Arabidopsis thaliana: one gene and its partners. The protein of the gene in region 1 interacts with the protein of each later gene in a pairwise test. Each region holds a gene or a part of one and is shown in the gene's direction. Other genes may lie near its edges.

The links.
Region 2: the proteins of AT3G48550 (region 1) and AT3G61920 interact in a two-hybrid assay, tested with the Arabidopsis thaliana proteins (one large-scale study listed by BioGRID).
Region 3: the proteins of AT3G48550 (region 1) and HAT14 interact in a two-hybrid assay, tested with the Arabidopsis thaliana proteins (one large-scale study listed by BioGRID).
Region 4: the proteins of AT3G48550 (region 1) and AT5G18260 interact in a two-hybrid assay, tested with the Arabidopsis thaliana proteins (one large-scale study listed by BioGRID).

What each region holds. Positions count from the first base shown.
Region 1 is NC_003074.8:17,991,938-17,995,616, forward strand, and holds AT3G48550 (SHOOT GRAVITROPISM-like protein), read left to right. Parts: upstream 1-1,881; 5' UTR 1,882-2,110; coding exon 2,111-2,457; intron 2,458-2,528; coding exon 2,529-2,658; 3' UTR 2,659-2,842; downstream 2,843-3,679. Other genes in the region: AT3G48540 (Cytidine/deoxycytidylate deaminase family protein), read right to left, coding at 1-78.
Region 2 is NC_003074.8:22,931,551-22,935,170, reverse strand, and holds AT3G61920 (UvrABC system protein C), read left to right. Parts: upstream 1-1,808; 5' UTR 1,809-1,969; coding exon 1,970-2,533; 3' UTR 2,534-2,717; downstream 2,718-3,620.
Region 3 is NC_003076.8:2,067,329-2,072,645, reverse strand, and holds HAT14 (homeobox leucine zipper protein), read left to right. Parts: upstream 1-2,079; 5' UTR 2,080-2,361; coding exon 2,362-2,677; intron 2,678-3,155; coding exon 3,156-3,481; coding exon of another isoform or gene 3,482-3,553; exon of another isoform or gene 3,554-3,603; coding exon 3,604-3,683; coding exon of another isoform or gene 3,684-3,783; exon of another isoform or gene 3,784-4,052; coding exon 4,053-4,341; 3' UTR 4,342-4,687; downstream 4,688-5,317. UniProt on the Arabidopsis thaliana protein: Probable transcription factor.
Region 4 is NC_003076.8:6,035,540-6,040,237, reverse strand, and holds AT5G18260 (RING/U-box superfamily protein), read left to right. Parts: upstream 1-2,131; 5' UTR 2,132-2,251; intron 2,252-2,517; 5' UTR 2,518-2,622; exon of another isoform or gene 2,623-2,727; 5' UTR 2,728-2,942; coding exon 2,943-3,137; exon of another isoform or gene 3,138-3,244; coding exon 3,245-4,012; 3' UTR 4,013-4,036; downstream 4,037-4,698.

The sequences.
Region 1 (3,679 bases):
GAAGCGAAATGCTAGAGCTGAAATCAAAGCACCGAAGATTGCAGATGTAGAGACGAGTGTAAGATCTCGAGAGTTCATGGGGAGCTTCAAAATCGATAAAACAGATTTATCCAGAAAAATCTTTGCTCTTCTCTCTTCACTATTAAATGTAGCGGGAAACTATAAGAGAGTGAAAATCCCCGCCATTCCGGTTAAGGCAGGTCTATCATTCGGTTCATATGATTGTTGGTTTAGGTTTCGGTTAATAACTAGATTGGTTTACTGATTGTGCTTTCTCTTCTCAGCAGAAAATTATGGCAATTAACAGATTTTGGTTAATTTCATTTTTTTCAAAAATTATGTGTTATTGAATCATTTATTTTATTATTTGTTATTTTTTTTTATTTTTTTTAGTATTGAGTGCTACCAATATATTTTTTGGATAAAAAAAACTATACCGGTCCAGATTTGATATCTCAACCATCTCTTCTATATTTCTATTAACTATGGATTTAAACTTTTTTGTATCGTTGATGTTTTGACAATCTTTTCAATTCACAAAAAGGTTATAAAAGATTGATTTTGAAATTTTGGTTAATGATCTTGTGAAAAAATTGACATTACCTTTCAAAATTTTTTTTTATAACTATAGTTCTATATTCTTATTTTGCGCTTTTAAGATACCGTCTCTGACTTTTTTATTGGTAGGCACGGTTGTGTATACCTATATAAGTTTTAGTTTTATTTCGCTATTTAGTTTTCTTTTGTCTAATGTAATGTAATATGAACTGGATAGATTAAGAAAACATAAAGTGGAAACGAACAAAGTTTGAAAAATAACAAATAATTGGAAACGTACATGAAACTATGAAACACATGAAACAAGTTAATAACTTTAAAAAAAAAACATTGAAAGCATTACGTACATTTTTATCTATAAATAACAAAATGTATTTAAAACATAACGACCAGGCAATCGTAGATCACAACACAATTCAGATTAGCTATTAAACCTGTGGAATTTTGTTTTTTTTTGTCATTTAGAGCGTCTATACTAATTAATGTAATTGAGATTGCAGCGGAAAGACTCAAACCCTAGTTTCCGAATTCTCAATCCTATAAATCTGTTATAATCTTTCAACTATTTAAATCACATATATAAATAAAATATAAACTGTTATATGAGAAGAATTTGATTAAATTACTAATATATACGGACTAAGCACATAGTAAGTGAGCTAGTTGCTAGCTTTTGAATCCATTAAGCCACGTGCATCACCAATTATTACACAACCCACATCCACATTTTCATTTTTTTAAAAGGATACGTTAATTAACAAATATACAATCGCAAAGTTATTAGTTACAAAAACATATAAAATGAGATAGATGATGAAAAAGTGAAAAGGGTTTCTTTAAAAAGCCTCTCATGCTTCAATAACGTGATCCGTTTATATCCCATCTTCTCTGTCTTTTCTTCAACGGAGATTTTCTCTACACCTTAACTATTTTTTTTCTTCCTATTTCTATCTTCGTTTTACTAACCTACCCTCCATTATTTTCACTTTACAAGTATGCTCCTCTTATGTTTTGGAAAAAAAAAAAACAATGAAATTTTGCAATTGCAAGTTATGTCATAATATATAGTAGCTTTAACGTAAAAAACAACATTAATCACGTTTGCGTTTACATGTTTATATTATTTCGACATAAACGCAAATAACATGTTCATCATTATAAAACATTCTAAAAATTTGGTTATTGGTGACTATTTATTTTGTAACTCGACAAAACTTAAAAAATCTTATATATCTAACCTATTTTTAACTTTAGTTGATTGTTGTACAATCACATCATTTCGTCTTATCATGGAACCACACTTGACAACAAATTCACATAATGGCGGTACGGTGGTCGTTTGTTAACTTTGAGGATTATATAAAAACCCAATGATCAAATAACCCAAAAAGATATGCATATTCGAATAAGGGGTTATAAGTGTAATTTCAAGTAGATAGTATATGTGCACAGACACGAAGCAGCTTACATATAAAGTGATTGGTAATTGCCATCCCCACACTTATTGAGAAGTGCAGCCTTTTAGCCAAAAAAAACAAACAAGAATACAAAAATGGCTGAACAACAAGATCATCACAAAGAGCTTCAGCTTTTACCTTCTCCACCGTCTACCGAATCTCCGGTAAGGAAACACCGACCAACAGTTATAACAACCGACCATCACAACAATCACCACCGTTCCTCCTCCATGATCCACCACGATCTTGACCTCAAACTCTCCATCAGCCTCAGCTCGATCTCAACAGCGGAGGAGCTTCCAAACGGTGGTGTGGAGGCGTTGAAGTGGCAAGCCGCGGAGCAGATAAGGCTTGCGGCTATAGAGAAGGCTTACGCCGAGAGGGTTAGAGAGTTGACTCGCCGTGAGATGGAGATGGCTCAGTCTGAGTTTGCTCGTGCAAGGTAGTTAAAGCTAGCTCGATCAAGTAATAATTCTGGTTTTGGTTTGGTTAACGGTTTTGAATTGTAACCAGGGTGATGTGGCAGAAGGCAAGGGAAGAAGTGGAGAGAGCTGAGAGATTGAAGGAGAGATCAATGACGAAGATCGATACGGCTTGCTTGGAGATCACTTGCCACTCTTGCAGACAAAGGTTTAGGCCATAACATAAGTATTTATTTGTTTCTCTTAATTATTGTTATTATAAATGGATATTTGAAGAGAAAGAGAATGTTGGTTTAATTTAAATTTTATTTTGTAGTTAAATTTAATTTGTTTTCATTTTCGAGTTTGGTAATATTATATAGTCCTTCCTTTTTATTTTCTTGAAATCGAAGGAAAACAATATGCTCAGATAAGAGATGATTTATGTTTCCAGCTACTTTACTTCCTCTTCTTTGCCAACCAAAAAAAAAAAAAAAAAAAATCATGAATACCATTTAGTGAATTACTTGGGAATTAGGGATAAAATTCATTAGTTACGTTGTCAACATTAGCTATGTCAATTCCTCAACGATCAGCTATTATATACTATATGGAGTATTAAAATCTAACTATGACATTTATTAACCAACAGAACAAAACCTAATTAGTAATTACAGTGATTAGTTAGTTAAATGCTTGATGTTAAAGTAACAAGAGATGGAGTGACATTCACAATCGAGGAACGTGGAAAATAAAAAAGAGAATGGACGGATTGCATGATTTGAATATAATTGGCTGACCCATATGTGATTCATTTGATTTGTTGTAATCATCTTTGAAAACGTTCGTTCAATGAAAATTGATGATTATTCTGAAAACAAATAATCAAACACACGTAAAGACATATGCATGGAGATGATGGGTATAATTATTGCATTAACATGCTTATTTCATCTACTTTAATCTCTTAGGTCGCTTTAAATAGTATATATGTGTGTACTATTATTTTGTGTTTGTGCATATACGTACATTTACTTACAGAAACTTGATAAATGTATGAATATTTTTGATAAGAGAGAGGATTAATTTTAATTATGTACTTCGTAGACTATGGTTTAAATCAATCGTGTACTACAGATAATATGTTCAAATTTAAATCCTAAAAAATGCCGAGTTTACGATCATACCCTAAATACGTAAATCAACTCGGCTGATCTATTCGGTTGGTCGTCATATTCTCTATAAAATGATACATACATATGA
Region 2 (3,620 bases), 4.9 Mb from region 1:
CGGTTAGATCTCGGTTTGAAACCATTTGGGTAAAGTTTATTGGAATGATAAATGAGGAAGGAGTTGAGTAAGAATGTGAACTACGATGCATGGGGCATGCGAGGTTATTAGACGGAATTATTAAGTGTTGTTCTGGTTCACGTATCTGCTGACGTGGAATCTAAGTAAATTAAAACCCATAACATAACACAGGGTGTGTTTCACGCGTCAACTATCTTAAAGTACGGTCTTTATCCCCGGGATTTTGTCACCTTAAACCTCTAATTTAATACTAATCATCACCTATTTCTCGTTTTATATCAAAATAAAATATTAGATCGAACGGAAACGGAGAACCTCCCCGTTTTTTCTGATTGGGTTTCGATTAGATTAAATTTTTGTATGTAAGATCCCCGTTTAGCAAAGCTCATCAAAGAAGGCAATGTCATTAGTTTTTTCTGTTCACAAAAGAAGGCAATGTCATAATCAGGACCACAAAGAAGAAATTCATAATGTAGTTTTTCGTGAGGCCCATTATGTAGTTCCATTCAGTGAAGTTTAGCCCATTATTAGTGTTGGCAATGGTTTGGGCCATATAGTTTGTTGATGTTAGGCTCAAATGAACTTCTTTTCTTTATAATTAAGAAACTTAAAATAAATAATTAAAAAAGTATCAGACAGAAACCAAGACCAAGATTGTACAGAACAATTTATACTAAACTCAGTTTAATTTAGGCTAGCAAAAAGTACATATGAACCAAAATCACATTTAAGTCCCTAACTAAACACCGATACACTATCTCACTTGTTTTTTGTTTTTTTTTACAAAAATAATAAATCAAACTGACAAAAACAATAAATGAATAAAATATCATTTGTATTTCTACAAATCTTGATTCTTTGTTAGTATTTGCAATTTCAGCATGTGGTATGTGAGAGACTGTGACAATTAGCTAGTGGTCTTTTTAAAAACAATATATTTTGCACTATGGTGGGCTCAAAGCTCTCTAATATAATTTAAATAATAGGAAGAAAAAAAGAAGAGTATGTAATATGGGCCATTGCCCATTAGGACCCTTGAAATTAATAATGACCCGCCAAGAAATTGTTGGTGTACGTAATTGAGTGCACCGAAAGGTACTACTGTTTTTTTTCCTTCGTATTCCAGAATCTTTCTTTTTTGAACTCCGTATAATATAAAAAGACAAAATGTTATATTGTTGTAGGACATGGATCCACACAAGTTATGTGACATTATATTAATCAATTCGAGTAAAAACAACATGCAATTATATACTCTGTTGATCTGATAAGATGTACTCTGTTTGGTCCATAGTTTCACACGTTCCATTTATAAATTTATAGAATTAGTTTTCGTGGAGGTTTTCTAACAATTTGGTAAAATGGTTAAATTCATTAATCATCCATAATAATTTTACAAAGATTAAAGTCTTTTTGTCTCTGTCGGCCTTTTCACCTTTTGACCTCACGTGAACATTATTACCCCTATCACTTACCTTTCTAAATGGAAAATAGGTTAAGGAAAACCATTTATCTTACTTTTTGTAATTTGTTTAGATAAGGTTTTATTTTATTTATTAATCTGCCAATTATTCTACAGAAATTAGTTCATTTTTTATTTTACCTTCAAATGTTTTCTACTTGTTGTCAATTGTTCTACAAACAGACCATTGCCAATTACTCTCAATTCTCAAATAACCAAAAATAATAATCATTTATCTTTCAAAGACTAAAATAATAGTAATGATGATAATATCGCAAGCACAATATCTTCGGTCCTTTTGTTTACAAGAAAAGTGGTGGACCATTCGCAATTTTCATTTTTTCTTTACGTCGTAAAGATATATACTTCATCTGCTCAAAGAAAACGTTTGTCTTAAACCCTTCTCCGTCTTGGGGTTTTCTTTGGATTCCATACATTACATATACACAAAATAATCAGTTATTATTTCTAACTTATGTAGCAAAAATGGGTAACTGCGTATTCAAAGGCAATGGTGGTTCAAGAAAATTATACGATAAAGATGATTCGTTGATAAAAGTGGTGACTCCAAACGGTGGCGTGATGGAGCTTCATCCTCCCATCTTCGCCGAATTCATCACCAACGAATTTCCCGGCCATGTCATCCACGACTCTTTAAGCCTCCGCCACTCATCTCCACCGCTTCTCCACGGCGAAGAACTCTTTCCCGGTAACATCTACTACCTCCTTCCTCTTTCTTCTTCCGCAGCCGCGACCGCTCAACTGGATTCCTCCGACCAACTATCAACGCCGTACAGAATGTCTTTCGGGAAGACGCCGATAATGGCGGCTTTGAGTGGCGGTGGTTGTGGAGTGTGGAAGGTGAGGCTTGTGATAAGTCCGGAGCAGTTGGCGGAAATTCTTGCGGAGGATGTGGAAACGGAAGCGTTGGTGGAAAGTGTGAGGACGGTGGCGAAGTGTGGCGGTTACGGCTGCGGCGGAGGAGTTCATTCGAGAGCGAATTCAGACCAGCTAAGCGTTACGAGTAGCTTTAAAGGGAAATTGTGGTAAAATTTCGAATTATGAATAAACTACGTTTATGTTTTAATCTGTTTCACGATTTAAGCATTTAAATTAGTATGTTGATTTCCGTATTCATTGAAGACTTGGAACGATTATATAAGTTTATCAACGTAGATATATTTGAAATATCATTGTTATCTCTCATGAAACAATTAATTTATGAAGTCGTAGACTCGTAGTTAGAGATTATTTAATCTTCCCTATTCAATGCCAAAAGTCTAGAAGAGCAAAACAAAAGGGAGAAACTCTTTTATTTCAGGCCCAATGACACAAAGCTGGCCAGAAACAGTTTAAGATTAGGCTAAAGTTATAAGTCCGACAAGCACGAGTGCTAATATATATAGTTATATGACGTCTCACCATTAAGGGTTTAATAAATTTTGAAACACCTCAAATTAAGATTGCTTCCCATGCAAACTTCCTTCATCTTCTAGAAAAATTACGATTTGTAATACTTCAATTATATCATTTTAGTTTTTTGTCACTAATTATCATCAATTTATCATAGCTCCGTGCCGCAACAACGTTCGTTTTAATCAGATTATATATTACTCTGCTATAAACTCAGAACCATGTTAGAAAAATGAAAAAGACATTTCAGAATATTCATTAACTCAAAATTTTAATCTCATGATTTAATTTTTTATTAACAATGTTATCCTATAGCACATGGCAAATTTGAACGGCCCTTGCGTATTAATCTATTATAATCTCAAAACCATGTGTAAGAAAAAGGAAATTCAGAAAATAACCTTTTGTAAATAGGCCCCCACAAAATCTACAACATACGTAGATACCTCCTCGCTTACAGTTGTAAACAACTGTTCATCTAGATTCATGCCGTCATTCAAGTTTAAATTAATACAATAATTTAAAATTTTAATTTGGATGAATCGAATCCACCGTCGTTTCCTGAATACCAGATAGGTTAACTTTATGATTAGTTCGAGTGAACCACATGCACAATATTCGAATCTTAGACATTCGTTGCAATGTTAACTTCACATATATTTGATAAACGCTTCTTGAATCAGATCTTAATCTCTTTCTTTCTCTCCATCTTCTAAGGAGGTTG
Region 3 (5,317 bases), on another chromosome or scaffold:
CCTAGTCATTAAGTTAGGTCCTGTTTGTTTCATCATTTAGCATTTTCATTTACATGATTCATTTACATGATTCATTTAAATGATGCATTTGAATGATGTTTCTAGTGTTTGTTTAATCATTTGATATTTAATCTAAATAATGCATTTAAATGGATCTTTATTTGTTTGATTATTTTGTAGTTCATCCACATTTTAGTAGGTAAAAATAATTTTACGGTTTTGGCGAAAAAAATATTTTATGGTTTTAGTGGGAAAACATGATATTATGGCTTTGGCGGGAAAACATGATTTTGCGGTTTTGCCGGGAAAACATGATATTACGGTTTTGGCGGGAAAACATGATTTTACCGTTTTGACGGGAAAACATGATTTTACCGTTTTGACGGGAAAATATGATATTACGGTTTTGGCGGAAAAACATGATTTTGAAGTTTTGGCGGGAAAACATGAATTTACGGTTTTGGTGAAAAAAATATTTTACAGTTTTGGCGGGAAAACATGATATTACGGTTTTGGCGGAAAAATATGATTTTGAAGTTTTGGCGAGAAAACATGATTTTGAAGTTTTGGCGGGAAAACATGATTTTACGGTTTTGGCGGGAAAACATGATTTTGAAGTTTTAACAGAAAAACATGATTTTGAAGTTTTGGCGGGAAAACATGGTCTTACGGTTTTGGCGGGAAAACATGATTTTAAAGTTTTAACAGAAAAACATGATTTTGAAGTTTTGGCGGGAAAATATGATTTTGCGGTTTTGGCGGAAAAATGAATACAATTTTGACGTAAAATAATAGTCCGTGATTTCCTAATTTTTTTTTTTTTTTGGGTGCAATATGTAATTTTAAAAAATAAAAAAACTTTATTGAAAATTAGTATTATTACAAACGTTATATTTGTCATTTATTCTTTTTAACTAAATCATCTCCATCCAAATGGTCAACTATGTCCATCTAAATGAGTTTTAAAAATTTGTCTAAATTTACAAAGTCATTCAGATGGATCATCCTAGTGATTCATCCAAATAATATGTTAAATTGTGAAAAACAAACATCATTTTTTATCTCTATCTAGATAATTCATTTGGATGGAGAAACAAACGGGCCTTAGTTATGTGAATCAAAACGTTAGTACTCTACAAACATTAAAATGTTGCACTTTAGCTTTAATTTTCCTTTTCACCGACCATTGATTTAGAAATTTAGCTACAGCATTAAACGGTAACTACGATGTCAAACCGTCACTATGTCCCTTTTTTTACTTCCAATTATTATATACCCTAATTCTTTTTCCAACCACTTCCACTTTCGTTTAAATCTCTTAAAACTTAAGAAAATCAAAGTTCCCATTATTAACGTGTGACCAAGAATTACGCTGGCCGGTCAAACTAATTATGGTCTTCAATAATGTTCAACAAACACAGTCTCACATCTTCAAGAAAAATCACGATTCCTTAATTGGTTTCTTCAATATGTGGAGTACTAAAAATGTAGCAAAAATAAAAAGTAGATGAAACTGTTTTTTAGCCGATCTTCTTCAATGGCTGCATTGTGATCGATGGACTAATTAAACGAGTCTCCGAAAATCATAAGCTTTATAGAAATAGTTGCTTTTTGCATGCTCAGATATGTATTTATCTTTATAAATTCAATTTTCACTCTATCTGAGATTTTTTTTCCATAAAATTTGGAAGTATCTTGAAATGGAAGTATTGCATACGAAATTTTGATTGTCATGAAAACAAACTGATTCCTTGTAGAATAAAAACAAACATAAGGAAAATATAGAGAGGGGTTAATAACAAACACACAAGGCGCCAGTCTCGTGTAAGAATGTGGTATACATTTATATGTATTCACGTGCGTATGTGAATGGCGGTTGTCGGTCAATCTCCCAAATCCATATCAACCCCAAAATACACTACATTTCTCGGTATTGACAAGAAATTAAAAAAAGGAAAATATCTCATGTTTTCTTCATTTTTTGATATAATTTTTTTTCTTATATTCTCTTTGGCATATAAAGTTGATTATCATTTGACCGGTTAGAGATATACTCTTTCCACAAAAAAAAATTTGAAACATTGTTCACATATATTAAAAAATATATAATTACATAAATACATGCCCTATTCATATACCACTAAAAAGAATGATGACTTAAATCACATGTCTTAAGGAATTTATAGGATGAAGATCCAATATTTGTTCATATACATAAATAATATTATTTAAATACATTGAACATAGGAAATAAATAAGTGGGGTTTCACTTTCATGTCACCACTCCATAAGGCCACAACAGATCTTCTTGTTCCTCTCTCTCAATCTCTCTCTCTAAAACTCTTATTTTCTTCGTAAGAGATGGAACTAGCGTTGTCTCTAGGCGACAATACTAAGAAACAGTTCTCTTTTATGGAGAAGAACTCGAAGATTAATAATCCCTCTGTCTCGTCGACATCTACTTCCGAGAAGGATCTTGGGTTCTGCATGGCTTTAGATGTTGCTTTTGGTGGTCACAGATCGTTGTCATCCTCTTCGTCTCCGTCGGTAGAGGATGAGAAGAAGAAACCGGCGCCCAGAGCAAAAAAATCTGACGAATTTAGGGTTTCGTCTTCTGTAGATCCACCATTACAGCTTCAGCTTCACTTCCCTAATTGGCTCCCTGAGAACAGTAAAGGTTCTTATTTTATTTTTTATATTTTAAAATAAAAAATGGGCATAGGGCTATAATTTCTCTTACTTAAATGGTGTGATTATATACGTACACACTAGACACAAAAGAAACAAAAGAAAGTCGATGTTATTCATAACATTCGATTTCTTATATTAGAATCCCTAATTTGGCTTACATGTTTTTTTTCTTACGACTATAAGAATATTAATATCTTTTCTGGATATATATATAGAGAGAGTCCGATTTGGCTTAAATGTGTCGATGGGATGTTGAAATCATTTTCCAAAAATGTTTTGACTGATTTGTGACAAGAAAGAAGAACCATCTTTTAATTAAAGTATTATTTAAATCCAAAGAAAAAAAATATCTATTGTGGATGTATTTGATTAACAAGAATACCTAACTTTTCACATATCAGTTTGAATATTCGCTCAGGATTACAATAGAAACAATATACTAATTTAATAAACCAAATTTACAGGTCGACAAGGAGGAAGAATGCCCTTAGGAGCAGCTACGGTTGTGGAGGAGGAAGAGGAGGAGGAGGAAGCGGTGCCTAGTATGTCAGTATCGCCGCCGGATAGTGTAACGTCGTCGTTTCAATTGGACTTTGGGATTAAAAGTTATGGTTATGAGAGAAGAAGCAATAAGAGAGATATTGATGATGAAGTGGAGAGATCAGCTTCAAGAGCCAGCAACGAAGACAACGATGACGAGAATGGATCCACTAGGAAGAAACTTAGACTCTCCAAAGACCAATCTGCTTTTCTTGAAGACAGCTTCAAAGAACACAGTACCCTTAATCCTGTTCGTGTCCCATTCTTTACAGTTTTTATTTATTTAAAATTTGTCTTTCTTGAATTTATTCTATTTTTTTAGTACCAAATTTTAGCCTTAATGCTTTTTTTTTTCTTTCTAAAACATTGCAGAAACAGAAGATTGCATTGGCGAAGCAGTTGAATCTTCGTCCTCGTCAGGTTGAAGTCTGGTTTCAAAACAGACGAGCCAGGTTAGCTTATATCATTAATTATTTATCTTCATTTTCTTCCTGTGTAAACGGTTTATTTTCTTCATTGGAAGTATATTTTTTTGCTATGATTAATTTCTGAAAAGAGGGATGAGGACGAAAAATGCATCACGAGTAATAATAACAAATTGTCGCATGTCTATCCTTGTCATTTTTCGTGCAAAAGTAGTATATCACTTCCGCTCATCATTTCCATATATAATTGCTTATAGTGACTTATTCACAAAAAGAAAAAAATTCATAATCCTTCTTTATATAATTTGAACCCAAAAAAAAACGTCTTCTTTAATCTTTACAAAAACAAAGTCTCATATTGTTGGTGGGGGTTATGTGATTGATAAATGATAATAGGACAAAGCTGAAGCAAACGGAAGTGGACTGTGAATACCTAAAGAGATGCTGTGAGTCACTAACCGAAGAAAACCGGAGGCTTCAAAAAGAGGTTAAAGAATTGAGAACCTTGAAGACTTCCACACCCTTTTACATGCAACTTCCGGCCACTACTCTCACTATGTGCCCTTCTTGTGAACGTGTTGCCACTTCAGCAGCACAGCCCTCCACGTCAGCTGCCCACAACCTCTGTTTGTCCACGTCATCATTGATTCCGGTTAAGCCTCGGCCGGCCAAACAAGTTTCATGAAAGCACCTGCGAAATACAGTTTGAGCAAACGGTCGAGCTAGAGTGGTTTTAAAAGTTGTCTTCTTGTGTATATATTTATTTTACTTTTCATATTTTATTAGAGACCGCTATTTTGAAAGACGAATAGATTGATTATCCGGTTAGTGTTTTGTTTTTCTTAGATAGGACCGGATAAAAAACAGATGGAGCAAAAGGGTTGACATGTTTTATTGAATGATAGAGGAATATAGAAGAAGACAAAAGGAAAAGGGGAAAATATTTGGTTTGATCTTATAGACTTTTATTTGTGATTAAAGCAAAAGGGTTTGTCGTGCAAAAAATCTTCACTAGATACGTTTAATTATCGTGTTTTAAATTTATTAAACTTATTTTTCTTCCTTTTTTTCTTTAATGTTATATATAGGTTGATACATTTTAATTTAAACAAAACAGCGTTTTTACAAGAAATATGAAGATAATTAACAAACCGGTTTTTTCATGTCAACGTTCGTTAATCAGAGCATGCATACATCGTAGGGAGAAACAATAGAGAACCTTTAACACAAGACGAGAACAGTCACAAGATTGTATCATTAATGATGTACTGTTTAGGCGATTAATTCTCTTTTGAACATGCGCCAGACTGTTCCTGCATGTAGAAGAACACGAGAAAAGCAAGTTGTATCTACTATCTTGTTTCGTCCTCTACTTCACACAAAACAAAGTTTGATTGATGTATAAGCCCCATTGAGATGATGTCTTTTGTTGGGTGGCGTCGACTGATCATGATATGAATAGCTAGAAGAGGAACATGTGTTTTTAAACAAAACTCTTATTTCTAAAACTGCAATTTTGCAATTATTGTATTACTTATATTCATACCTCAGGTTTCATATAGCATATATGGGTTGCATGTGAACCGGATCAATGATTTGTGAGTTTTAGATCCTATCATTTTGTATGGCAAGATAATATCAACATGTTTAGATAGTGGGTC
Region 4 (4,698 bases), on another chromosome or scaffold:
AATAAATGCAAGTTCTTAGTACGTTACATATCATTAAAATTTTCCAGCACTTGTTAACATCTGTTAATATCATAACTACATACTCGTTTTATCTTTGATATATATAGATATAATATTGTATCTCAAGGAATTTTTTTTTTGGGCCCGAAGCACAAAGCTTGTCTTTACATAGAATAAGATATGGCTGCAGATCTGTCTTTAAGATTTGGCAGCAGATCTGTTTTTTGGTTGAATGTATATTTACTATAATATTCTTTGTTTTAAATTCTTTGATATTTTTTAATATATAAAACGACAAAGACAAACACCTTTAAAGAAAATGCACCGATTTGAAAAATACCAAAGGAATAACATCTTGGTAAATGTTATTATTAAAAGGCATTAACATCAAAGATGTAAAAACATAATGCCATGCAAATACATAGTTTTCAATTTTTCTTGATATATAGTCTTATATTAGTCCTTTTTTATTCCCTTAAAAATCATATAGTGTTATCAAAAAAGTTCTAAACGTTAATATACAGATAATCATGTAACGGTTATAAATAAATAAAAACTCAATTAACCGTACGTAAATAAATGAGGCTTCTGGTTCAATGTACTATATGATGATGATTTGCAAAAAAGCGTGTGAGTCTCTTCCACCTCAAATTCAGGACATAAATCTGATTATTGTTATTATTTTTTGGTTCAATTTTGGATTTGAGATTATCCATAAACTTTTTGGTGTATAAACATAGCATTGCTTACAGTAGTTACAACTAGATTATATACTAGAATAAAATATTAGTAATATTTTGGAAAAAAGAAAAAAAAATGCATGAATGTGAGGATTATTAAAATGTGCATAGAAAGAGGACTTTCCATTTAAAGCGAAGCTTTTAGATCGATACTTGCAGCAAAGCTAACCGTTCTCTTCCCCTTTTTAGGTTTCTAGATGATTACTATTGCTTCGTTTCTTTTGTCTCTTATCTTCTTCCTTCTGCTTAAACAATTTATTTTACTATATACAAATGTACCACCTCCTAGGTTCTAAACGATAGACTACACGTGTGAATCAAACCCTCTTACCATTTGGAAATGTTTTTTGCTTAACCGGTTGTCCAGAGCAGTTATTTAGGTGGAACCAATTTTCTATGTGTTGCTTCTTTTTACAGCTGATTTGTTATGAAAAAACATTTCACTTTTAAAACATGTAAAATAAAACATTACAAACGATACATATTTCATTTTTGTTGCTTTAATTTTCACCTTTTTAATGGATTAGGTTAGACAATAAGCAGATATGCTTATGGTAATGCCATGGACCATAGTTTGGACCAAAAAGGCCTACATTATATTATGGGCCTTTATGAAGTCCATTAGTTTCGTTCATAAAAAGACAATTTAATCTGAAGTCCCACATTTTTAAAAATGTTTAATTTTAATCTTTCAGCAAGAAAAAGAAAAGGGCAAATGGTTTTGCTATGCAAGTGAAAAAAATATTGAAAAGAAAGAAATTTTTGAAAGAAAAGTAATACTTAGTAAGAGTTAGAAAAGTAAGAGATTAATGATTAATCAAAGGCGTTAATTGCTGTCAAAAGTAGCAAATTACTGCGTAAAGAGTTGTCTAATTAAGACTAGGAGTTCAGCAATATTGCAGTACTCTTAACCAAAGATTTAATATTGAGTAATCTATTCGTTAGTTGAGGATGAAAGTTGAATTTTGATAGGTACTAGTGAAAACACCTTTATTCGATGATACCAATAATTGGGTTTTAAGATAACAATAGTTGATATTATAATGGATTTCACTCAAATGAAAACACATTTCTTTCTCTAAATAGTAAATACCTTCTTTTCTTTTTTGTTAAAGATTCACTAATATTTTTTTAGTTTTATATATCCTAATGAAAATAGATAATGTGTAACTCTAATAATAGCCATATCACATCATAGCCATTAGTGATTATTCCAATGTTAGAATAAAAACAACAACAAAAATCAGTGAGGGGATTAACCAGAAATACTAATTTTTAAAAGGAGTAATAATGGGTTAATAATTGGCCACTCTCATTACAGAACAGAACTCATAGCCGTCGTCGTCGTCTCTGTCGTTCTTATTTCAAAAAAAAAAAAAAAAAAAAGAGACAAAGAAAAAGTAAAGAGAAGTGCGCTCTCTCTTACTCTCATCGATTTTACAAAATATCAGCCATCTCCAAATTACAGAGTTCTTTCTCAAACCCAGGTTATCATTTTCCAAAGTTTGAAGGTTTGTTGTCTTTGATTTTTAAAATCTTCCTTTTCTGTATAATCTGTAGTCTGCTTTCACCGACACTTGGTTATCTTCCTCGAATTCTTCCTGGGTTTGTTTATTTTGGTTTCTCCATCAATGAATCTTTTGCTGTCTAAATTTCTTCTGTGATTATAAGAGCTCAAAACAGCTGTTACGAGTCTGAATCTAGTGTTTTGTCTTAAATATTGCGTTAGTTTAATTTATATGCATCCTCAAATACTGTTGTTTCCATTTTGTCTCAGGTGTGTTCCTGTCCCTGCAGAGATGGCTTGGTACTTATGAATGTGTTTATACTAATCACTAAACTCGGGGATTTTGGCTGTATAATCAAGAATTTCATTTATTAAGTAAGATTACAATCATTAACTTAGCCTTCCACAGTGTTTACAAGTTACAAAAAGACGACTTTGGTTTCAACTGAAATCATTCTTCAAGTCTCTTCCTTTTGGCAGCATTGTTTGGCCTTGAAGGCGGTGAGGATAAACCAGAGCTCAAAACGGGTGCACTCTGTTGTATTGTGGCCTCAAGGCCACTGGTTACAACAAAATCTTCACCCCACAGCGGAAGGGATATTCCTCAATCAAGTCAAGCTGAAGCCTTGCAATGGCGGACAAATTTCAGCTTCTCACCTGCTGCTGGCTATACTAGAGATGGTTTGGAACAGGATATGAGTGATGAGAGTCCCGCTTTTGCATTGCACTCGGGCAGCAGTAGACAAAGAAAAAGTTTGGAATTCAGATTTCAGCAGTCGCCAAGATGGGCTCCATACTCATCTGCTTCTGATGGGAACGAACAGAAAACCTCCTTGGTTAATAATAGTCTAACAAGACCAAATAGCTCAAATCCTCAATGCTTAAACGAGGTAATTTTGGTCTTCTTTACATATCAAGTCATTAATCTTCAAGATGGGCTTTTCTTGGTTTCATCTTTGGCTGAACCTTGTCGCTCTTTGATGTAATTACGGCTCAGGAGAACGGTTTTGATAGAGACAGTACCGCCATCTCAACGAGTTTCAGATCGTTGCTGTCTCTTTCAGAGTCATCTGTCCCATGGGAGACTCCGACCAACAATCAGTCTTCCAGCCTTACTCACTGCTCTTACCCTCGAGTCTTCTGCAACCCGGTTTCAGTTTGTGAGAATCCTGAACCTGATCATACGCAAGAAGACTCGTCCACAAATCCTGGTTCCAGTATCATGATGTCCACAAGAAACCACCAAGGCTCACCAGTAGAGGAAGAAGTATCACCAAACTCGAGCAGCAATGACATGTTGCTAGATGTTGAAAGATCCAATGACACAGAAGTCGCAAACCCGAGATCTGAACAAGGTTCAATGACACATCAAAGATGCGGGATTTGCAAGAAGCTTTTATCTCAGAAATCTCCATGGAGCTCATACAAGATATTGAGATCCAGAGACATGCCAGCCACTGGTGTTTTCCCCTGCCATCACGTCTACCATGTTGAGTGTTTAGACAAAGCAACCCCAACAGCTCAAACCAGAGACCCGTCTTGTCCTGTTTGCTCAAACACCATTGGAGTAATGGAACAGCCACTGATAGCACCTGAAACATTGCAAATGGCTCTAAGATCTCTCAGAAGAAGCCGCACAGCTCTAGAATTAGAGACAGTAAGAGTCCCTTCCAATGACAATCAAAGAAGACACAATACCAGAAGAAGCCATAAATGGGACAAACTCAGCTGCTGTTTGAATATAAGCTTCTCATCTTCTTCCTAGAAATCCAACATGACCCGATTAAATTAGGTTCTTTGAACTTTTACTTGGATCTAATCGATAGTTATAACACAAAAGAAAGAATCTTTTCAAACTTATAGTTTCTCGAGTGTCTGGGAAACTATAGACAGAAGCAGTACGCATTTTAGTTAACTTGTAATCCAAAATCTATATTTCAGGCTACAAAGAAACTCTAGTTAACTAGGAACAACAAGCCTTACACACGAATTAAGTTTTCTTCTAGTTGATAAGAACAAAACAAAACAAAAACAGAAAACCAAAACCATAATCCACAAATTCGAATCGAACAAAAACAAAAAGCTAGAAGAAGAAACCTTAAATAATCAAAATCTAAAATTTTCAAAAACACATAAATATTTGGTTGGGTGGGTGTTAAAGCTCGCAATAGCCATCACAGCGCCGAGTAAAATCGTGCGCTCAGGCAGCAAGCAGTCTTCATCGCTGAAAACAATGGGAAATTAACGATAAAAGGAATCGAAACCTTTCCGTCACCGGAGCCGCCAGCCAAGGATATTGGGGTTGCTCATTGGCCCGAAAAGGCCGAAACCCTAACGATAAATCACTTTTTCTCAGCTCAGATAAGATCAAGTAGTTTTGAAGATTTGATTGATTTGGTTGCTCGAGTTTTATAGCCTTTGGTCAAAAACCCTAATTCACTAAATCTCATC